4 linked regions of the Neodiprion lecontei genome follow. Each later gene encodes a partner of the first gene's protein in a complex. Links are inferred from orthologs where the notes say so. Each region holds a gene or a part of one and is shown in the gene's direction. Other genes may lie near its edges. The genes, in order: glycosylphosphatidylinositol anchor attachment 1 protein, GPI transamidase component PIG-S, phosphatidylinositol glycan anchor biosynthesis class U protein and GPI transamidase component PIG-T.

Region 1 (6,853 bases):
TCAATTCTTCACATGAACCTTTGTCATCGCAGAATGGAACGCTGCAGTATTCTTTCTCTACAATGTCATAACTTTCTGAATCAACGTAACACCACGGACCACCTGCGCTGCTATCCGGATTTCTACAGAAGTTTTTGGCCTTGTTTCGGGACAGATCTGAGAAGTAGTTACTGGGGAATTTTTCTGTCTGAGGAAATGATAAAATCGATTATGAAATGATGATGAGGCCCACAGATACTTTCGAAAATGTAAGGACCGTCAAAATTTTACCTTATTAATGGCCAATTTCAAACGCTTGTCCCAAGAATTACATTTTCTACCAGACGAAGACGTTTCTCGAGTTCCACCATACTCGGAACCTGTTCCTGATATTCTACATTCTAAAAATATGATTGAAAGAAATTAATACAGCATCAATTGAACTGAAGCACCAAATTGAATGCTACACCTTGGTATGGTGGTCAGATGTAACGATATTGGATGAACGCCTAAATGTTCACCTCCAAAATTACACAGAGGCACTTCGCATTCGTCGTCAATCAGATTTGGGTCCATTGTATAACACCAAGGACCTCGAGGATCTTTGGTCGGATTTCTACAATAGTTTCTAACAAGTCGTAAAGATCTTTCAGGAAAGACTTTATCAGTAATGGATTCGCTGACCTGCGGTGATTAGAATAATGTCGTGAAAAATGTACCGTGTAACTTAATCATCAACGACAAGTGTTGGCCGATACGTTCAAAATTTATGGATCAGATATAGCCGAGCTACTCGTGTTATGTTATCCGCATGAACAAATAACAAAAAGTCGTGACGGTACAGTAAGAGTGAACCTGATGAAGAGGTTTCTCCGAATACCACATCTGACATCGAATTCCACCAGCAGTTGTCGTGATCGAACCCATGTAATCGGTACCCAATTGCGTGAGCTTGCATCTGGACAAATCGGTACGAGTCGCGTTTCGTTCCGCTGCAGAGAAGAAAACATATAGCTAATAAGTGGATTCAAAATGTTCAAACAATTGCACTTGTGAAGGTTAATAAGTTTCCTGGATCGAATTATTTACATTTTGAAGCGCTTGAATGAGCTATACAAGTCTGTAATTCCAGTAATAATAGCGTGAAAGTAAAGGAACAAATCATTCCTAAACAATTAATTAAATACTGTGAATATAATGCAGTTTATTTGCAGAAAATGGTTCAATATACACAATTTTCGTTTTATCAAAACAACTACTATTCGAACAATCGAAACGCATTATTCATATATTTTTATATATCTCAGTGATTTTTACGGTCGAACCCTGCGTGAATACGTCTTTTGACAGGTATTTGTATTCGTCGTAACGTCTTGTGAAACAGAATACAGCTTTCCAAAACGTAAGCATAACCCCAACGTAATTCCTCGTCGAGATATGAATCATCGGCATGAATGGGATCCAAAAGTTGAATCTGAAATCCCAAACTAGCCTGCGTGTCCGTGCCTCGTCATGATTTGTAAATTATCCGCCGCAGCGTCGACATATTGAATCGAAATATGCAACCGCTAAGCACAATTCGAGAGCTGAAGTTTAGTATCGATTATAAAAATGGCCGCCGGCCGTGGGCAGGGCTGTCAAAATTGAATGTGCAGGTTGTTGACTGGTGAAAATTTGTTGTAAATAACCTGACATAAGAATTTAATTATGAATTAATTGCACCAGAGTGATTTGTAGTTACCTCAAATGTTACTGTTCAGGACAGTCTGCGTTTTTCACTAGTAATTTTAGTGTTGGAAACGATTTTGCGCGAATGTTTGAGGTTATATGCCGCTGTTTGGAATTCTTCTGTTCTCCCCGGTGTTGAAAGAATGGGTCTCTTAACGGATCCCAGAGCTGGGAATGGAGCAGTTATAAAATTTGTTATGAAATGGGAAAAGTTGTTATGCTTGACGCTGTACGTTACAGGCGTAATATGGTTTGTGTCCCTGGCATATCCTGATTTCAATGACAGTAAGTATATTTTATCGTACTAAACCATTTGATTATCAAAAATGTTGTAGTATCCAGTTTCACTTGAAATTAATTTATAGATACCTATTTTTCTGAAAATGCTCTCTTACCTGGATTGGTTACCAATGAATTTAATGAAGATGGCGGAGCGAAACGATTTCACGATGAACTCCTCGCTGAGATGAAGAAATATCCGGATGACATGCCCTACCCTTGGCTATTAGCAAAATTCCGTCAACTCAATTTAGATGTTTATACTCATAACTTTACGCTCAACTATCCACTCTCTCAACAGAAGGTATGAATTTTGTCAGAAACATGATCCAAAACATGACTCGTTATTAACTTGTGAGATGTTCTGTAGTAACTAATTTCCAATTTTTATTTCCATGCTGATTTTAGACACTGATTCAAAATACGATTTTGAATATTTATGAACGAATAAAAAACTTTTATTGATTATAAAGAAATGAATGAAATCTTACTCTAGCATTCTATAAATAGAATTTCGATTTTCAGAAACACAGTTACTAGAAAAATTATTTACCAAACGACTGCACTTAATTTCTCAAATCTGAAACTCATGAGTAGAGTTACTTAGTGCCATTTCGATAAGTAATGCAACTTTCGGTTCCTTTGAAACTTAGGTGCAAAATTATTCAAAATTCACTATCACCGCTCATCCTGCATGACAATTTTATTCTTTACAGTTTACTGGACAGAATGTGTATAGCATATTGAGAGCTCCGCGAAGTGCCAGTACCGAAGCAATAATATTAAGTGTACCATACCGATCTGCAAGCAGCATTCATCTGACCACTGCACCATCGATAGCTCTATTACTTGCATTTGCTAAATTCTGCCGGAGTAAGTGCCCTCATTTAGCTCTAACATTAACTTACGCCATATTTACAATTATTGCAATTTTCAGAACAGAATTATTGGGCAAAGGATATCATTTTTGTTGTGACTGAGCACGAGCAGTTAGGAATGCAAGCTTGGCTGGAGGCGTATCATCGCTGTACGTGTGGGCAGGATGGGGTATTGATTGCAGGCGACTTGGTAGGAAGAGCTGGGTCTATTCAAGCTGCCATAAATCTGGAAATGCACTCCTTCAAAATTGGATCCATTGACATCAAGGTGATTGGAGCTGAACCCCTGTGTCTGGGGAGTTCATTAACCACTTACTACTACTTAGCCAGTTCGATTATGCAAAAATACACAATCAATTTTTTTGTACAGGTGGAAGGTTTAAATGGACAACTTCCAAATTTAGATCTTGTTAATCTGGCAAACAAAATGTGTGCCAAAGAAGGGATCCGGAGAACATTTCAACGCAGAGCAGACAGTAATCCAAAAGACAAAATACGAAAATGGTGGTACCAATTTGTTACCATGATGTCGATGGTGTCTACGCAAGCAACTGGTGTGCCAACTGGAAATCACGGTGTTTTTCACAGGTATTGTTTGGAATGTGGATAATATTAGCAGAGCCACCTCAGAGAGTTTGATGATGAATAATAGCATAATTAGGTCTAATATTAAAAATAACGGTGCTCGACTTGTTTCGAGACCAAACTTTCTTGTGAGAAGGTTGTGCTCTTAGCTCTCCTTTTTGATTTTTGCCAAAATATTTACCAAAAAAGTTCTGAAATCAATTATTTCACATGCTACATCAATGTTGTTTTGCAAAATAAAGCTATGGCGATCAATCCCAATTTGATCCGACTACACGTTCAACAGATACAGCCAAAAACTTCGAAGAGTTCTCAGTTTTTTGAGTTGTCAATATCAAGTTTGTAGAAAATGGTAAAGAAACGAGAAACAAATTGTTGGGGTATGAACACATCTTATTCAAAGAATTGTTCAGTAACCCTTAATTTGGATCCGAAAAGCATCTAAAGTGCTCCTTATGATGTTATACCTCATGGTCAATTTTTGTGACACATGCCTACTCGTGTTGCACATGTTTAATTACAAGTATTATAATTCTGTTGCTGCAATCATTTTTTTTTGTATTGAAAGTCAAGTCATTCAATTAAGTCAGTAAGTTAAGAATCATGAAAAATGAAAATATCAAATATTTTCTCAAGTTGATTTTAATTTGTTTTACAAGAAAAAAATTAACCATTATTTTTCTGTTCAAGGTTTGGTATTGAAGCCATTACATTGGAAGGTTTTGCCAAATCCGGGTCTGGGACGGAATCCACTATTTACAACATAGGACGGGTTGTTGAAAGTCTTATTCGTTCGCTCAATAATTTATTAGAACGATTCCATCAATCATTCTTTTTTTATCTGTTACCGTCGACAGATAGGTATATTTCTATTGGTAAGTTAATAACACAAAAATTTATTTTTGGTCACAGTGGTCGGACCAATCCTGCCGAATTTGGCCAAATACGGAAATTTTAACTGAAAGTGTGTAATTTGTGTAGACTATATTGTTCTACTTTTCCTCTCAGGATTATATATGCCACCATTAGCTCTAATTATTGCTGGGCTTTTCATAAAAGCATTTTCTGTGTGGCTTAAGTTACAAGAATCTACTGAAAAAAAAGATGGTGAAAGTGATGCAGTTAAACAAGCCAAGGTGAATTTTATCAACTTTCTCCACCACCCTTTTCTGTCCTCAAAATTCGCGAAGTTGTCATTAATTTTTATAATTTAATTTAGTCAGAGGAACTTGTACTGTCACACATCGCTTGGGAGGTACTTTGGACTCACATATTGGGGGTAGCGACATTGTCTGCCCCACGATTGTTTACCTATATAGGCATAAAATTTCATCTAGCGACCGAAAATTCAGTATCCCTAGGCCTCTTACTTCTCACAATCGTGATGTTTATTGGGACTCTCTGTTTTGAAAGGTAATCTGAGCAATCTGAAACAAGGTAATATATGAAATAAAATGCATCTGCAAACCAGAATCTAAAATATTGAACAGTACCAGATTGATTTCACTTCCATCAGCAACAAGAATTTTAATCTTTTTACGAGGAGCTTAAACTGTACACAGCATCATTTTTTCAGATATAGGACCTACGAAACTGCGTCCTTACTTTATGTGATAGCATTAATAGAATTGGCAACGATGCTTTTATGCATTTCAATGCACAACTTTTCCTTGGCATTAGTAGCTGCCGTTGTGTACGTTCCTGCAGCATTGACCGTCATACCAAAGAAGGGAAACGAATCCAGGTCAGGCATCACAAATTATACCTGTATGAATATTTTTGTTTTGTAATTATTACTAAAGTCTGCAGGAAATACGATACATAGAATTTTACATGGTCTGATAAGCTTGTTCTTTTTTCATTTCTGTTGTAAGATGACTTTTCTAATCTAATCACGCTGGAAAAAGTGGTGATAAAAATACCGCTGATAAAACCATCCATTACTTACTTCTTGACAGAATTTCTAGTCATTTCCTACCGTGCAATGCTAGATAACTAGTGCAGTGCATGCTTGTTCAAATGTCTCTTATTTGGAAACTTAGCTTGTTATGCCTATGTTTGTACAACTTTCAAATATTTTATTTACGAATACGCAACGAATTTATTTTGCTTACCCAGACATCTCATCAATAATTGGCTCTTAAATTATATACTAAACACGTTCTAGATAAGATAGATGCATACAAAACATCGTGCTGATAACTGTGAGGTTTGCACACATTGGCATAGGTGATGAATCGCTGTTTTCATTTTAGTCAATCAATAATTTAAGAACAATTTTAGTGAAATAAACAGTGATGCTTGGATATTTTAGATGTAAGCACTTATTAAAAACCGAGCTATGCAGTACTTTATATATGATATTACAAATGAAAATTAATTACATGGAAAAAAGTGCTGCTTATTTAACGGTTTCAATTTTACCATTTATTCGTTTTTTCTTATATTTTAAATCGTGAATAAAATAATGCCCAAGTGATTTAGCTGAGAAATGAGTAAAACGTAAATATAATTTTCAGATTCCACAATTTACGTTGTATACCCTGGATACTGCTACATCCGCTTTGTCTAGCATGTACAGTAGTAGCGGTATATACGCATTTTACATTCCCGGACTACACAATCATTGCTTTTGCACTGAAATGGATCCAAGCATCAAAGCAAGCGATCGTATTTGGGATTATCGATTCCATGGTCTATGGGAATTGGCTGTACAGCGTAACGGTCTGCGTTTTACTTCCGACATGGCTTATATTCTGGATAGTAGTTACTTCTAAACCAATTTTGCGAATTTCTAAGTGAATGTATTATATGAAATGTAAAAATCAAAACGTGCACACGATAGTGAATAAATTTATGGAGGTAAACATATTCCGTTGAATAAAATTGAAATTTGCAATTCTTAAAGTATCTATAACTCCGGAATTGTTATCTACAATCACATATTTTTCTATGTGATTCATGAAGATTTATTTTGAGTCAATCACTGTTGCGGGTATGAATTATTGCTAACTTGTTTGAATTTACCGATTTGATGTGCCATTCGTTTGTCGGTGGACAAGTATTCAATATCATATTCAGAAATTGTACTGATCTCCTCAGATGTGCCATATAGATCATTTTCGTATTTTATGTAATCAAACGAAGTGAAACAAATGTGTTTTCCGTGGAAATAAATCAATTAATGATAATTTGTTGATGAATTTCGGGGAAAAACAACACGGGGATAGTGAAATTATTTTTATAATCAATTATAATTGATCATTATCAGCGAGTGAATAAAAATATTCGAGTACAATAAAGTTGAGGCTATTAGCAAGAAATCTCCCATCTATCTTTCAATGGAGCCACACAGCTGTTATCGAATGCTTATCGCCAATCTTTTGTTCTTGAGATATTGGAAT
Region 2 (4,641 bases), about 5.0 Mb from region 1:
TAGTACAACCGAAGATGCAGAGCATTTTGTGCCCGTCCAATCTGCGAAGAGGCATCCGTATAATATCTACTTATGTAATATATCGCTAATAGCCTATTAGTATATATTGTAGTTAATCGAAGTAATTCTTTGTACAAATTGCAATTAGTAGAATACTGGAGATGATAGATTGGACGTCCGTCTTCTTGATAAACGATTCGTCTGACATGCGAGAGATTCATGCACAATTTTTCCTTCGCATTATCAATCTTTGCATCGTATTTTATTTATCATGTGCATATATTCTTCGAACTATGTTAATGGTATACGTGAACAAGCGGCATTACTTCGCTTCAACCGCTGTATCATAATTATCTTACGTGTCGCATGCTCAAAAAAACACCTATTCCGATTGATGCACTTAACATTGCGAGTAATTATCTTCGACGAATTGAAGAATCGAATTTCATGTAGCTTCTATCATTTATGTGTCTAAAGTGTACTGCGAATGTGGATTGTCAATTGATTTTATGCTGATGCCATATTAAACTTAAGATTTGTAAAACGATACTTTGCATATCTCAGAAAAAGTTACAAGGCCGACTATTTATTCCCAAGGACAAATCATCGCACAAATGAGTGCCCATACATTATCCACTTAGTACGCACCGTGCAGCATGTTACGACTTCATTTACGTTGTCGGATAAAACGCAATATTTTTACCACATCCGGAATTTGATTACGATATGCATCAAAAACAACTTGCCTAAATGTAGTTAACCACATTCAATTTCTGTTATTGAACTTACTAACTTCAATAAAAATTCATTTCACGTATCAAAGCGGCGTACTTTTATAAAACGCAGATCAGTGCAATTACTTTGTCAATGCAGCTTGTGAACTATTTATCAGAATGTAGATTTCTCAATTGAACTATCAATGATCTGTAATCAGCAATGGTGAGTATGTTTTGAATAAGATATTGTAGCTATTGCGTTTACATCAAACAGCAATACGCGTTATTTTCGGTTTTCCTGTTTTATCACCACTTAACGATCATTGATTGCGTCATTATTGGTGGCAACGTCTGTATCGTAGTCGTTAAACATTAAAATATTCACTTCTCGGTGAGATCGCATAATTAAATAATTGGTATGAAGACTACACAGCGAAGTTAGATACTCTGTCTAGGTCTAAAGTATATTTTCTCGCGAATCGCAAACAGAATATCCGTTTTCCTAGAATGGTACGTGTGGACATTGATATCCATTAGATTTGAATATAACTGCGGATTTCTATTATAATATGTTAAAAGACATCTTTACAGTTAATTGAACCATAACTCCGATGTGATTGACTTTGTTCCATACTATTAAAAAAAAAATATTCGTTTCGATCTGACATTCTTAGCAAATAATACGTTCACCGAAAATATTATTATATACCGTTTATGCTTGCGTTCGTTTTTCGCAATATGAATGCAATTACACCGAGTGAATTAAATAGTGCGTTGACAACATCACATGACGCATTATAACGTAAAAGTGCAATTGAGCTGCGACGAATCGAACCTTATTACATCAAGCGTTGTATATTCTGCAGTCAACGCACCAAGGCTTAATGCCGCGTTCAGATTATATCACTCAGTCGGTACGTTTATTTGAGCTACAAGGTTTCACGGGCGACAACTTATCGATAAAGCAGACGTGATAGGCGCTGTCTTGAGATTTAATGATCTGAACGTATCATAAAATTTATATTATAAAACTTCGTAATGTGACATCCTAAAATGGCAATTAGCAATATTTCGAGGTGTTTTCATTTTGCACCACGGATGTGTTATAGGCAGACCTTTATAGGTATATCAGTGTTAGCACCAGTGAATGTGTGCCAACTCTTAGAATAAAAAGTCACCAAGTGCAGTCTGCTTACCTCTGCTTCATCAGTGGGTAACTAGGTTTACGGTGTTGTTGAGTGTTGTGTTAGGTTGTGTATTCGCATGATGGACTAGTCAATTGTACGTGAATCTAAGGAAAACACTCATTTAAGTATTTCTGGGCATAAATTAGAGCTCCTGAATATCTGCATTTCTATTTTAACGATAATTAACAAGTCAAAAAATGCCCAGCTCTATCAATCAATTAGTTAAAATCTGATTACATACATTTATAGGTTATCTGTACACCGCTCCAAGTCGAAATCTATTCATTGAAGCTTTGATAACAATGAGTGATAATTCGGGATCCGTAGGATACGATACGCCTTCAGATGGTAAGATCATGCGTCTCATTTTCACCCTGCTTGTGAGAATTACTCGCTCTATAATTAATTGTACGGATATGGAACGTACCCTCAGCATAATTCAACTCCGATATAATCGCTCGACGGGCTTATTCTATTGCTCTGCTACTGGCACCTAGAGCAGATTACAAACATGCAGAAAGCGTCGATGTCGAAAAAGTATTCGAGTCGGAGAGAGAACGGAACGTAATAAGACTAGATGCTCTTTCTTTCTACGTGTGCATTAGACAAAGAAAGGAACTAGTCTTACTACTTTCCTTTCTATGCCATTTTCCACTTACACGAAAGTGTATACCAGGAATTCTCCATTTCTCTATGCCCTAAGCATTGACACTATATAACCGCAATGCCTAAAATTCTAATTACCTAGTGACTGCTGAGATGGCGCCAATTAAAGAAAATTGTAATAGTTCTCCAGGTCACTCCAACATATTAGCACTGTTGTAATTATATATAGAGCAGGCACATTTGATCAGATTGAACTAAACACAGTACTATAAAAACTATGGAACAGAAGAATTTTTTCAAACTCATGCAACAGTTTACGGAAGCAGAAATAATTCTTACCAGTAATTTATGACTCCAATGCAACTCCACTTCGGTCACATGTTCACACCAATAATGATATTCTTCATAATATAGTGTTCACTTTTTTTCATTCACGGTAGAGTGGGTTATCTTGCATTAGGAAGGAAACTGTAACAAGTGAAAAAAATCTAGTACAAAATATTCTTTTTTTTAGTCTCTGTACTGAATAGTATATTATTACTGCATCATTAAATGAGATTAATGTAAAATTACTTGTAGCCTTCATCTGACAATATTAATAGCTGGGCAGGCAGAATTGTGAATTGTGAAATCAAATACTTGCATTTTTTAGACAACCACATACATAAGCACCGAGTACACAGGTGCACTTTACTATTTCCATTAGACAGAAGTAGCTGTTGCTAGACGGTTAACATTTATTCAATTTCATGATTTCTTGAACCTGAAACTTGAGTAATACCTGCAAACTAGTCTGTATACCAGCTTGTAACGCAAATCATTCACCTGGATTTCATTTCATTCTTTCAGTCTGCATCTGCCATTGATTGGAATAGTGGAAAATCCTATTCTACAACTTTTCTGAACGCATTGAACTGAGTCAACAAATTATTAGCATGTTATAAAAAAAAAAACAATTTCAAGTATGAAAGAAAAGGCGTTGGTCTTTAAAATATTTACGAATTAAATTTTCTTCTTAATATCAATCCCTTTTTGTTCAGTTTATACGCAATAAATGATGATTGGCCTTTGTCCTTTGCTTTGATAATTTATTCTAATCATTTCGTTCTTACAATCTTTTTAAATCATGGTCTGGTAAGTTTCAATACTTATTATTTTCATTCAAAAATTTCTTAAATTTATTTTCTACCTGTTGTGACGAATACTAAAACTGTTATCTTTTTGTCATACGAGTGTCAAAATGAAGCTATTACACACGAAGTCGAACGTCTAACTTAAATTTTTTTCAACGTTCGGTTACGTTACCGTTAAGAACTACATTGTACGTGATTTATATTAGGAAACCTTTCTCGGTTCTTTCACAATCGAAAAGTATATCATATAAATACCCTATAAACTGTGATGGGCGATTCGAAACTATAGTAGAGTTTCATGGAACGAAGAATTTAGTCTTTCTGGTGCAGACAAACATCTTGCGTATATGTACCTGCACTAATCTAGAGTTCGACACGTATAAAAGGTGATAAACGCTACGTGTTTCCTACCCCAGTAGTTGGATTTATTTTAAGTGGATGTAGAAATACTTATTTCTAATTAGATACATTACGTCTACCAAAAAAGCTTCTGCAATATTACATTTAATGTTTGCTTTAAGCTTTTTAGGTGCTTTGACATCCCAATTTACTCCTCCCTTTTTGAACAGATGTATTTCAAATCTAATCCAGAGACCGGTCAGGACAAGTCCGATCAGGTATTGAATACATAAATGTATTATCCTGGGGTTCCACGCTTAATGGAGTGAAGTAAAAGTAATATATTGTGAACATGCACTGCGTACCTTCATACAACCGGAATTGTATATGTCATTCATGACTGTAATCGGATATTAGATATTGAAGTTGGCGCTATGGTCTTACTAACTACATTAACTTGCTTTAAAATTCTAATTTGGATATACAAACAGGATAAACAAATTACGAGGCTGTCGAACTAGATCGTTGAACCATACAATTTGCTTATGCAAACTTTTTGATGAAAACATAACGCAACGCGTCCCGACTTGGCTCACTGAGCGTGCGCGACAGAATAATCAGGTATTAACGTTTGTCAGAAAACTTAAATAGTCACAACAG
Region 3 (5,312 bases), on another chromosome or scaffold:
GAAAATAAAATAACGAATGATGAATTGTTCAAAATCTTGATTTTTGCATGTTTGAAATCTCAGTATATCCACCATTCGAAATATTGACTCTTCCAAGTTTTTACCACCACCCAAGTATATATAGATTCAGAGATGAAAAGTCTTTTGCCAAAAAACTCGTAAAAAATGTAAGCCTAACCCCTTTAACCCCATTAAAAAGCCCTTTGAATTTTTGCTGAAAGTTTAGATGATTTTCAAAGATATTGGATCACTTTGATGCACTATATCGGCGTAATTTTGCTGTAGGAATCCATTGCTCACAGTCCGTACACGCTGCAAGCTACGGATGAAAAGTTACAACAAAAAAATGAAAGATTGTCTTCGTAATTTCCGTGCTGTTGGTCCAATGCTCTTCTTGCTATATTTTCTGCGTTTCTGGGGTTCTACATAGTCTAGAATTGTGTCAAGCAAATCAATTCTGAATCTGAAAATATTATGCTCAAAAAAGTACAGCTAATTCCTGTGAATTTGCGGTGAAACTTGTGACGATTTTGCTTTCCTATAGAGCAGAGCGTGCCGAGAGAGATAACGATGATTATATTAGGATTGTTTCTTATTCGATGGATTTGAGACAAAGATTTATAGTTGTAGGTGACTGTAGATTGAAGGTGGGGATGACTCAAGGTCACCGCAAAGTGGCGCACTCGAGATGAGTTTGTGCTCGTCTAGTTAGGGCATGTTTCAGTGGCTAGAGAGTAGAGACTAGAGAGCAAGAAGGATAGAAGACATTGAATGAAGAACTTGCCGGATTGTAACCTCAAACAGAAATTTGCGATTCGCCCTGTGAATAGTAATCAATATAATTGATAGTCAAGCACGAATGTTGCGCTGAAACGGACGATTGAACATCGGAATTGATTGGTGATAGCACACGCCAGGTGAAATTTGCAAAATTCTGAAAATAGGACCCAGCTATGTTCGGACGTGTGATACCAAAAAACTTTCGTAACATATCGGTACGTAAAAAATTTAATTTGCAGCATTGGCTCATCGAAAATCTTCAAAACTTCAATGTATAAACAAGCTAAGAAACGCCTTGTACTTCCATGCCTTCGACGAACCTTGATGGAAAACTGCTTATTTAATTACTGCAAACTTGTAATCAACTCCTCAAAATTTTCCAATATCCTCTCCAACCATTTATCGAAATCTCTCTGTTCCGACGCCTCCATGCTAAGACTGCTAGTACAAGCACGTCATTTGAATTAGAGAAAAATGAATAAAGCGAAAGTGTTCCAGCTTCTGTCACGAGTTTGGAGTGGACCGAACGGAGCACTAGCCGGCAAGCAAGCTGAACAGAAGATGGTCACTATTCTCAGAGATAAGTTTCCCAAAGCGAGCCTCATTGAAGTTACAGATGTATCTGGTGGGTATCTACCAATGAATCTGATTTACAATCACAGAAATTATTATTACATTGTTATTGTACATGTTTTCTACTGTTTAATAACATAGTTTCGCTAAAAGAGGATAATATATTATGCTGCACACACAAAAATAATATTAGAGTGTCGAATGTTACCTTGCAAAATTAACCAATGTACTATTAATGTATATAAATTAACAATGTAACTATTATTTTCCTGATTCACATAGGAGGGTGTGGCGCGATGTTTGAAGTAAATGTGGTTGCCCCAGAATTCAGAGGACTCAACACAGTTAAGCAGCATCGGGTTATCAATGAAGTATGAACTCATTTGATTACTACTTTGCAATATTCAGCAATTATAATAGTTATTAATATTTGACGTGTGCAAATTCAGTATAATCCTTGTGTTTCATGTTTGCTTATAGATTCTGAAGGAAGAAATTAAAAACATGCATGGTATTCGTATACATACAAGTGCTCAGGACACCTAGACTTTTTATATCAAAAGTGCTTCAAATTTATGAAATGAAAAATACAGCGACATGTATTTGGATATAGTTAACTGGATTTGGAATCAGTTGGAATTGCGTATATTTATACATATGTCACGAAGTTTAACGCATTCGAATTACTTGCGAGAGTGCATTTCTCGCGAAAAAATAAAAGGGTTAGCCTTCCTTTTTTGCGATTTTTAGAGTAATTTACCTCAGGTTCGACTTACAGGACCCTTTTCTCACTCGTTGGTTCCTAAGGAATTCAATAAAGATATCTAGAAAGTACGAAGACCAGCAGCTAATTGTAAGCAAATACGAAGAAAAACCGACGAAATCCATCTAAAATCATCTTCCCGCTCTATCTTTTAATCCATTATTCCTAACTATAAACTATTCGCATTCGTTTTCTTTTTCAGATTTTTTTTAAATCTGCACAATTTTGTAGAGGAAAATGCAACGAGGTTAGTTGACTTTAGTCTAGTTTATTAATTCTTGTGGGTTTTACAATTTGATTTTCGTCTTATTTGGTACGTTACCTCCAGACCCGGCAAACCATTACGAAAAAGAACTGGCCTAGCTAGCACCCATAGTAAATAGGTATATCTGTGGCCAAAGTGGGCAAACCTTGTACTAAAAGCTGATCAAATCTCAACACTTCGGCCTATCGTCGTTGCTGTCGTCAGCACTATTAGACGCTGTGAGTCGACCCTATAGCTGTGGTATATAGTTTGAGCAAATTGCATCGAGCTCCATTTATACAAGACGATATTCTCTATGGCTCTATTGCGGCTTAATGTTTATGTGCATTAATAGCGGCTCAGGTTATGAAAAATGAAGGCTAAAAATGTCCGTTTGATAGAGTTGCTAAATAATGAATTAAACTTTTTAACAGTAGATTGAAACTGATAAACGTCAAGTGTTGTAAGACGTACAGGTTAGGGTGTGGTTGCCACCAATTATAATGAGTACTACTCAAAAATTTGTATTTTTCGCTTTGGCGGCAACGATAAGGTTGCTATTAATATATTCCGAATATCAAAAGATCATCGCTGACAGAGTCGAAGTATCCACAGCACTTAACTCATGGAAAAAAGGTGAGCGTTTCCAATGTTTTTGCTGTCTTTTGCTCACTAAGTATGATCGTTCTTATATTGTTACCAGTTACCGAGGGAGTCTACCTACGAGAAGCTGGTATCGATCCTTACACCGGTGATCTGTTTCATGAAAGTCCCATAGGCCTTGTCGTCTTCAGTTATATGCAAAAGTACTTGTCATTGTGTATGTTATGTGGCATATTTGTCTTCACGGATTTGGCCACGGCATGGATTTTGGGTGCGACTGCTTATCGTTACACGAGTGAACTAGTGAGTTGATTCAATAATGATAATAGGATCTATTTTATAATGAAGTAGAAGACGAGACTGCAAATGTACTACATCTACTAAAACATAGCCATAAACCAACATTCAACCAATTTCCTGTAGATTGCCACCGAACAAAAAGACATCCAGAAACGCAAAAAGGAATCCAATGACGAAGAATTATCAACTTTACCTTCATCAATGTCAATACCAGCATCCAGTGTTACGTCTTCCGCTTTACTCGTACCTTCAGCTTACCTTTTCAACCCATACGTAGTTTTTAATTGTGTAGGATTAACCACAACCGTTTTTACGAACTTTCTGCTATCCGCGGCTCTATATTCTATGATAAACAAATCGAGATTATGTAGTTGTTTCACTATAGCTGTTTTAACATTGCAAGGACTTTATCCCATTACTCTTATGGTACCTGCCACAATATACTTGGCGCGAAACGAAGAAGGTAAAAATAAAAATTTCCCCTACGGAAATATTAATAAGACAATAGCGATGTTCATTGGTATTCTCATTGCGTTATATTACCTCTCCTACAAAGTATCAGGGAGCTGGTCATTTTTGCACAGTACAATTGGTTTCATTTTAACAGTACCTGATCTGCGGCCAAACATCGGCCTGTACTGGTACTTCTTCACAGAAATGTTTGAACACTTTAGGTGGCTATTTGTTGCATCATTTCAAATAAACGTAGGCCTGCTCTACGTTGCTCCTCTCGCGCTACGATTTCGCCGCGATCCTATGCTCCTGGCCTTCTCGTATCTCGCAATCGCGGCTATTTTCAAATCGTACCCATGTTTAGGAGAAGTAGGATTTTATATGGCTCTACTACCAATGTGGAAGCATCTCTTTCCGCGTAAGTCAATAATCTACTATTACTGTCTCGTAATTATTTATCCCTTCATATTTGTCCCAATTTATGTATATTTTTCCGAAACTAATGCGTCAATTTTATTTTCTCCAGATATGCAGCAAGGATTCATTGTCAGCTGCTTCCTTTTGTCCTGCACAGTGTTTGCTCCAACAGTTTGGCACCTGTGGATTTATTCACGATCAGCAAATGCGAACTTTTACTTCGGTGTCACGCTAGCCTTTGCTATCGCCCAAATATTTTTAGTTACCGATGTTCTCTTTGCCAGCGTCAAACGAGAATTTTCTTTGCGACACGGGTTGTCGAGAGAAATCCACGGAAATACTGGCAAACTTTTACTCGAATAAACTCCATTGGATGTATTCTTACACATACATTCCGTGTCCAGATTGTAATGCCGATTGGAGGTGAAAAATCGGGACGCACTCTAAAGAAGATGGAACTAAACATATAAGCATTCATTTGAAAATTGAATGCGTAACGTCAATTACGACGTTCACAAGTTTTAGTTGAGAATTCACAATGAATTTATTGCGGCGAAAATATCCCCTCTGCTTGGGTAACAACAAAATCCAGTGTCATGATTCACGAACGATTAAAAATATAATTCACCAACATTAGCGCAACAAATTATTATTTCTTTCCTTCCCGCCAAATCCATACTTTGCGTCACTCCTCTGTGTATCAACAACGCGCATAATAAGCAGTGGTTCACAGTTGGAACTCCAAGGTGGTATATCCCCACTTTAGTCAAAGATTAAAAATTACTCTCACGTAACGTTGGCGGGTGAAATTTTAATATCAATGTATAATCTGCGATCCATTGAAGATGAGGAACATTCTGAACACAAGCATGTGTGAGTTAAAGTTCAAGTAAAATTTTATCTGTATTCATACCTAAATCCCAGCCTTTAGTAATTAGATTAATTAATAAAAGAAAAAACATTATCAAGACGGTAACGGAAAACCTGATACACGCAACGCACGTTCTTGCGTAAATATTGCCCGGCTACCTGATATTCCGTAGACATAAAGCAGCTTCTTCGAATCACTTTCTCCGTACGCGTGGGTATACGTATAGTTATGCATGCCATTTCGTCATGCGCTTGAGTTTTTTTTTCATGAAGTATATGCATACGAAACGGATTTTCCCACTTGTATAT
Region 4 (5,844 bases), on another chromosome or scaffold:
ATCAAGAATAAAAAAACGAAGCTCATTCAAAACCGGCTACTAAAAATGACAAAAAGGACCGTGTTGAAATTTTGTACGTTCAAGATACCGGTAATCTGTATGAAAAACCTATTGTTCCAAATGGAATACAGTTAGAAATTAACTGCCATCTTCGCTTTTGAATCTATATTGTAGAAAAATGTTTTTAAATTTTTATGACAAATTTGTATACTTGGTTGATTTCTAGATTACTTAACCAAATCTACTGTTAAATACATTTTTCAAAACCTCATTACTTTCACATATATAAACAGAAAGGCAACTAATATGATAACTTGCATTTTATAATATTATTAATTGGTTTTAGACTCAATGAAAATGCATTTTATAATATTATTAATTGGTTTTAGACTCAATGAAAAACCACAAAAATGTGTTGTCACATTATGCATATAAATTTATTACTTCCGACTGAAAGGAAATGATGCGTCAAGAACACAAATCACAAATCAGTTAAAATAAAAAATATGACTCTGAGTGGGAAAGATTTTCAACGGGTGATTATTGAATTATTGTTACTTACAATGTAATTGTGAATAAAATAGTGTGTACAAAAGGTTGTACTGAGTAAGATAATACATAATACGAGTATGCTATACATAATTTTCTTATACCCCGCAGATACTTGCCTAGGAAACTGTGAAGGCCGCACTTTCAGAGGATACATTCGTAAAATGCGAAAAAAATGATGCATCAATAACTAAACGTTTTACGCATAAGTAATCAGGAATACATATTCTCTCAAACTCGAAATTCCTAACAATCAACACAGGCACTGCCGTAAATTTATAATAAAGTGAACAGATATGAGTAATTATAATCAGGGCACTTGATAATAAATTTTTGAACAATCTTGTGTTTGGGGGTTAGCGGGCAGAGTCGCAATCTAACCAAATAATATGAGTAGAAGTTGAAAAAAGGAACCTTGATCTTCTTTAAATTTTTTTCAATTGCTTTTGTGATAATGATTGCCTGAAGTTCATTAGGGTTTGTTACAGCATAGATTCAAACATTAATAACAATCGAGTCCTACCTAATTTACAAAAAATATTTACAAGTAGTATTTTTGTGTAGAAAGGTCTGGGTTTTCCTCTGCAAATACACTGTATTTAAAAAAAACACGGAAATCTAACGTCAGTTAAGAGCTTATTTTTATATGTCAGCTGTATTTTCTTTGGGAACGAAGATATGAGCGTTGACTGAAGATACACGAGTTAAGTAGTAAACATAGGTATGTACATAAATTACATACGGTACATATAGGAATAAATATATATCTCCATCCTTTGATTAACTTCTTTGATTCTGGCTCCCATCCTTTGCATCAAGAAAAGGTTTCTAACGCTGTTAACCGTAAACCAGGTGCATATTTATTGTACATTTATTTAGATGATATTATTTTTGTTAATCGGATGGAGTTTATTTGACATGACCGAGCAATTGATCAACGACCAATCAAATGCTTAGAAAGAGACAAAACATCGGCCGCGTGTGTTTCCTTCTCTCTCCTTTTTGGCGCTGCCACAAGCAGTACCAGTGAGTGCGCAGTCTATGCTCTATATTTTACGGCTATGCTAATACTAATAACTAATAAGGAAAATGACGCAGAGGGAGGTACGCGGGGTGTGTAAGTGTACCCAGTAAAACAATTATTTTGAAATAAACTTCCACAATTATGTATGCAAGTCATTAGTCAGCGGCAGTGAGTCCTGACTGGTGGAAAGACGATTCGAGCGATTTAAGTGCGATTAACTGGTGGAGGTTATGCGCATAGCCGTATATCCGAAGTGCGAAAAGTTTTTAACCTCGATTTGCGAATGGGCGAAGGGTTGCTTAAAAGTAATCCAATTGCAGTTACAATCGTGCGCGAAAATGCGAACTGCGTTTGCGATGTACTTTATACAGGCGTTGATATTGAGTGCCATAGGAGATGTCGGATTCGTTTCCTGTACTTCCGACGTAGATGATGCCTTCAACGAGGAGCTTATGCTGAAGCCCTTGCCAAGCGGACACGTCTACGCACATTTTCAATTTACTACCCTGTGGCGGACTGACATTGAGACTGAAACCTGTATGTACTACGTATAATCCGTACATACGTTCTTCTATATCAGTGTAGATGCATGGCCAAACGTCATAACCTGGAAAACGGCGGTACTAAGGTGAGGTCGGAGTGCTGACCAGATGAGTTAATCGTATTTTACAATTTTCTTCCCTCTTGAATAAAAAAATCTTTGGGAAATAATAGCGTGCACTATTGTGCTTGGGTGATGATTTGAGTAAGTTCGAAAAATTGACGCAAACACTGAACATAACCAGATTTTCACTCACTTTGAGGTTATGGTGTACTGATATCCGAATCCCATGGTTTGCGCACTTCTAGATCAATTTTCGAATTTTTTTTGTCCCAATACACAAATACGATCGCAAACACTGTCATTCCCCAACATTTGAAGTATTTTCCTTGCTCGTGAGAGAATAGCGTTCTGAAATTAGATTTTCTCACTTTGTTGGTACTTTAACCTCGCTTTAAGTTTGACACTCTATTGTTTCATTATTTGCTCATTCTTTGTTTGATCGCTCTATTCTTGAATGCAATTGATCTATCGAATTGCATACATCTTTCTGTATACAGTCCAACATTCTCGGCTATTTCCTCGTGGGTTAGGGGAAATAATCGGCCGGCACAATGTCAGAGAACTTCACGTCAGTTTGACTGAAGGATTATGGCGTTACGAGAAATGGGGATATCCTCTTCAAGATACCGGTTCTGGCGCCGAGGTTTATGCCTGGTTCAACGACGACCGAAGGTACAATAACTTACTATTATCTACCCTAACGACAATCACTCAACAACCTTGACATTTCAAAGAGTTCTCATCTTCTTTTCATCGATTGCCTTTCCTTGGGAAATTTGTATTAGTACCATATTTGATGATAATATACTCGATATTCTTGCTCTTAGGATCGATGAGAATTGGAAAAGCTTGACTAATGCTCTTGCGGGTTTGCTGTGCGCGTCGCTCAATTTTGTGGATGTGTCCAACAGCTTGTCACCTGATTTTACCTTTCGACCCAGCGGTGCTATTCCAAGACCGCTAAACTCTAGCTGTCTTCGATATTCTTCGCTGCCAAGAGAAATAGTTTGCACAGAAAACTTGACACCATTTAAAAAATTACTACCGTGCGACTCTAAGGTATGAACAAGAAAAAATACTCTGACAATATTTAACTAACGTCGAAATCACAATATTTTATCATTTTCGTCTTTGCTCGTATAAACAAAAAATTTTAAACCTATTCAACATAGTTTTATCCCTTAGAAAGGATTGGCTACTCTCTTGAATTCAGCATATATCCATAACACTAATTACCACTCGATAGCTGTTGATGTACGACCTGTATGTACCAATGCAGCATGCACGCAAACTACCATTGAACTGCGGCAAACAATTTCATTGGTCTACGACACTATGACAACTGATTCGCAGGTATGTACATATGGCATCGAATAGCAGGCACATTTTTATGAAAAACTCATTTTGGTTGAATCTTATTCTTTTGTATCATTCTTGATCCTACAAAATGAAATAGACTGAACCTTATCTATGAATTACCAAGTTAAAAATGCTGGATCCAACGTGATATTGGAATCCTGAAATAATTTTTGGTTCACAAAATAATATGAACATGGCCAATACTTTCTGACCTGCAGGACTGGTCGGTGCGAAAGCTTTTCGGCATTGGACTCCGAAGCGCTTGTCCATTGGCCACCCTGAGCCGTGTATATGTAGATGTAACCGATAATGAGACATCTGAAACTTATCGGCTAGTGCCTGAGCCACCGGAGACTCTAATCAGCTTACGAGGAGGACAAGAAAATAGAATAGCTGTGTACGATATTAAATCTTTGTCCAATGCCGGGATGTTCAATGTCGCTGCTGTCCACAGCAAAGCCAAAATTTATGGAGTCGAAATTCCACCGGTGCTCTTTGCAAACAGATATGTAGTAGGTGTGTCTGTGTTTATACTGTAATGGACTTGATCTTTATTAAACTGTAGTATTATGAAATGGACGGTCATTGTTCTTGACATAGCAGGATCTGAATAACTCGTGACAAAACGCTGTTCTCAGGCTATGGTCAAGAAAGAGGCGGCCTGGTGACAAAACTCCATAATAATTACTGGAAGCCATTGGATGTCGTGCTCCTGGAGAACATTCCATGGTACATACCGGTCTACACTCATACCATAAGGATCACCTGCCAGGGGAAATTACTCAAGCCTCGTATGTCTAGATTTCTGCGAGTATCGTTTGTTCCCATCTCCATTCTGTAAATAATTTTTTCTAATCCTTGGTTCGTGAATTTTGCTCGTGGTTTCAGTAATCAAGCGATACGTGCCTGGTAGAGAAAGGGAACGTCCTTACTACCTCGAAATGGTTCTGCGACTTCCGCCGCGTTCTGTAACAGAGTTTTCAATAGAATTAGACTATCTTTTTCTCAAGTGGCAAGAATACCCTCCGGACGCTAATCACGGGTTCTACATGGGCCCTGCAATAATAACCTCTCTTCTCCCAACTGCGAGAAATTACACCGCTCTACCTCAGGACGGAAGTACTATTTCATCCAGGTAAGGAAACAATGATCGATCAATTATTGAACAATATTCCGTTAAGCTTCGAGGACCAGGAGGTAAGAAGAGCATTACCATTTAGGGTGGCCACTGAGATGTTAAACCTGGCAAATTGAGTAATTTTTTTTTTTAAACTGGTCAGCACGGGATGTTATTCTGAAACATCCGAAGCTGTTTCCTGATTGGTCAATGCAGCAAATATAATACAACCTAAAGCCATCATTATTGTGTGGTTGCAGTTTCAATGCATCTCGGGACGGTTACCTGGTCCAATTACGGACTGAGATTCTACTTGTCAGTCTGCCAACGCCTGACTTTAGTATGCCTTATAATGTTATTTGTCTGGCTTGTACGGCCGTGGCACTGGCTTTCGGACCCCTCCACAACATAACAACAAAGAGGCTTGTTCTCAAGCCATCTAAGAAAAATAAACTAGTTTCTTACATCAGAGAGAAACTCTCCAAAACAAAGGTAGATAAGATAGAGTAGATATGCAAAGTTCTCTTCAGTCATATTTGCTATTCGCTCCAAAAAAGAATACTCCGTACACACTATTGGATCTGTCGCAAAGGCCTTGGCGACATAATATCATGAGTTGTAAAAATAAAAACTTGAAGCAATTAGGTAAATAAATCAAACAATCGATTATCTGGTATTTCTTACATAAAATGTTGGCATATTTCATTTCTGTAAATGCAAACCTTTTGAAACACCAATATACCTCTGTAACGCAAGACGGAAAAAATTCAGAACTCGGCAAATTTGGAACGAATCTGTGAGGCACAGTAGAGAACACAAATATAACATATAGTTAGATTTTATTGTGAACAATTCCGATACTAATCTCATTGTATACATATAATATACAATTGGGTACGTGACAAAAACGAAAAGATAAATGGACGGCTTAAAAAGTTATTCGAATATCTCGAATTGCATGGTATTATAGTATATTACTTACTTTGGTTATTTTTAATCGTAATTGCTATAATTTAATCTTGAAAAGTATTAGGTACAATTATAATGGAATTGTATAACGTACGGACAACTTGATAAATAATCAGAAGAAGTAGAAGGATGACTTTGCAAACATAATGACAAACAGTAGAGCAGGCGACGAGAGGTGGTACATGGTGCACGCACTCCCCCTCGAACCGTCGTTTTCGTTTT

What was found.
Region 2: glycosylphosphatidylinositol anchor attachment 1 protein (region 1) and GPI transamidase component PIG-S share a complex: the UniProt entries of both Homo sapiens proteins name them as parts of the GPI-anchor transamidase complex. The link is inferred for Neodiprion lecontei from reciprocal best matches to the Homo sapiens genes GPAA1 and PIGS.
Region 3: the proteins of glycosylphosphatidylinositol anchor attachment 1 protein (region 1) and phosphatidylinositol glycan anchor biosynthesis class U protein are in contact, whole or in part, in a cryo-EM structure (PDB 8IMX), measured with the Homo sapiens proteins. The link is inferred for Neodiprion lecontei from reciprocal best matches to the Homo sapiens genes GPAA1 and PIGU. Residues at the interface, in NP_003792.1 of Homo sapiens: Gln245, Leu310, Arg311, Arg313, Phe358, Leu359, Ile371, Ala389, Leu390, Trp393, His397, Leu500, Ile504, Leu508, Cys512, Leu515, Thr516; in NP_536724.1 of Homo sapiens: Tyr349, Ile355, Phe356, Cys360, Ile363, Val364, Leu367, Leu368, Val371, Leu372, Leu375, Ile377, Tyr378, Ala379, Gly380, Ser381, Phe386.
Region 4: the proteins of glycosylphosphatidylinositol anchor attachment 1 protein (region 1) and GPI transamidase component PIG-T are in contact, whole or in part, in a cryo-EM structure (PDB 7W72), measured with the Homo sapiens proteins. The link is inferred for Neodiprion lecontei from reciprocal best matches to the Homo sapiens genes GPAA1 and PIGT. Residues at the interface, in NP_003792.1 of Homo sapiens: Arg97, Ser98, Val99, Gly100, Glu102, Tyr104, Arg134, Ala135, Pro136, Arg137, Ala138, Ala139, Ser140, Thr141, Glu142, Arg171, Gly172, Gln173, Ile174, Tyr199, His200, Asp201, Val202, Leu212, Gln213, Gly214, Arg215, Ala218, Arg311, Tyr312; in NP_057021.2 of Homo sapiens: Gln91, Gly92, Phe93, Arg95, Arg97, Tyr98, Ser108, Phe211, His212, Thr213, Ser214, Asp247, Phe249, Ile250, Arg340, Gln355, Tyr357, Val358, Ser359, Gly360, Tyr361, Gly362, Leu363, Leu371, Tyr373, Lys441, Asp459, Pro460, Asn461, His462.

What each region holds. Positions count from the first base shown.
Region 1 is NC_060262.1:35,686,675-35,693,527, reverse strand, and holds glycosylphosphatidylinositol anchor attachment 1 protein, read left to right. Parts: upstream 1-1,583; 5' UTR 1,584-1,850; coding exon 1,851-1,992; intron 1,993-2,072; coding exon 2,073-2,290; intron 2,291-2,702; coding exon 2,703-2,859; intron 2,860-2,923; coding exon 2,924-3,132; exon of another isoform or gene 3,133-3,234; coding exon 3,235-3,452; exon of another isoform or gene 3,453-4,139; coding exon 4,140-4,324; exon of another isoform or gene 4,325-4,457; coding exon 4,458-4,585; exon of another isoform or gene 4,586-4,668; coding exon 4,669-4,862; exon of another isoform or gene 4,863-4,876; intron 4,877-5,025; coding exon 5,026-5,193; coding exon of another isoform or gene 5,194-5,216; intron 5,217-5,968; coding exon 5,969-6,251; 3' UTR 6,252-6,341; downstream 6,342-6,853. Other genes in the region: uncharacterized protein LOC124293465, read right to left, coding at 13-187, 271-380, 501-638, 804-971, 1,069-1,144. UniProt on the Homo sapiens protein: Component of the glycosylphosphatidylinositol-anchor (GPI-anchor) transamidase (GPI-T) complex that catalyzes the formation of the linkage between a proprotein and a GPI-anchor and participates in GPI anchored protein biosynthesis. Binds GPI-anchor.
Region 2 is NC_060262.1:30,735,337-30,739,977, forward strand, and holds the start of GPI transamidase component PIG-S, read left to right. Parts: upstream 1-1,627; 5' UTR 1,628-1,997; intron 1,998-2,152; 5' UTR 2,153-2,205; coding exon 2,206-2,251; intron 2,252-3,417; exon of another isoform or gene 3,418-4,641. UniProt on the Homo sapiens protein: Component of the glycosylphosphatidylinositol-anchor (GPI-anchor) transamidase (GPI-T) complex that catalyzes the formation of the linkage between a proprotein and a GPI-anchor and participates in GPI anchored protein biosynthesis.
Region 3 is NC_060260.1:40,147,940-40,153,251, reverse strand, and holds phosphatidylinositol glycan anchor biosynthesis class U protein, read left to right. Parts: upstream 1-1,635; 5' UTR 1,636-1,724; intron 1,725-1,802; 5' UTR 1,803-2,863; coding exon 2,864-2,996; intron 2,997-3,063; coding exon 3,064-3,266; intron 3,267-3,386; coding exon 3,387-4,134; intron 4,135-4,242; coding exon 4,243-4,496; 3' UTR 4,497-4,769; downstream 4,770-5,312. UniProt on the Homo sapiens protein: Component of the glycosylphosphatidylinositol-anchor (GPI-anchor) transamidase (GPI-T) complex that catalyzes the formation of the linkage between a proprotein and a GPI-anchor and participates in GPI anchored protein biosynthesis.
Region 4 is NC_060264.1:23,625,921-23,631,764, forward strand, and holds GPI transamidase component PIG-T, read left to right. Parts: upstream 1-1,645; 5' UTR 1,646-1,803; coding exon 1,804-2,110; intron 2,111-2,674; coding exon 2,675-2,849; intron 2,850-3,004; coding exon 3,005-3,236; intron 3,237-3,362; coding exon 3,363-3,530; intron 3,531-3,754; coding exon 3,755-4,052; intron 4,053-4,174; coding exon 4,175-4,327; intron 4,328-4,424; coding exon 4,425-4,671; intron 4,672-4,913; coding exon 4,914-5,163; 3' UTR 5,164-5,343; downstream 5,344-5,844. Other genes in the region: CD109 antigen, read right to left, coding at 5,735-5,844. UniProt on the Homo sapiens protein: Component of the glycosylphosphatidylinositol-anchor (GPI-anchor) transamidase (GPI-T) complex that catalyzes the formation of the linkage between a proprotein and a GPI-anchor and participates in GPI anchored protein biosynthesis.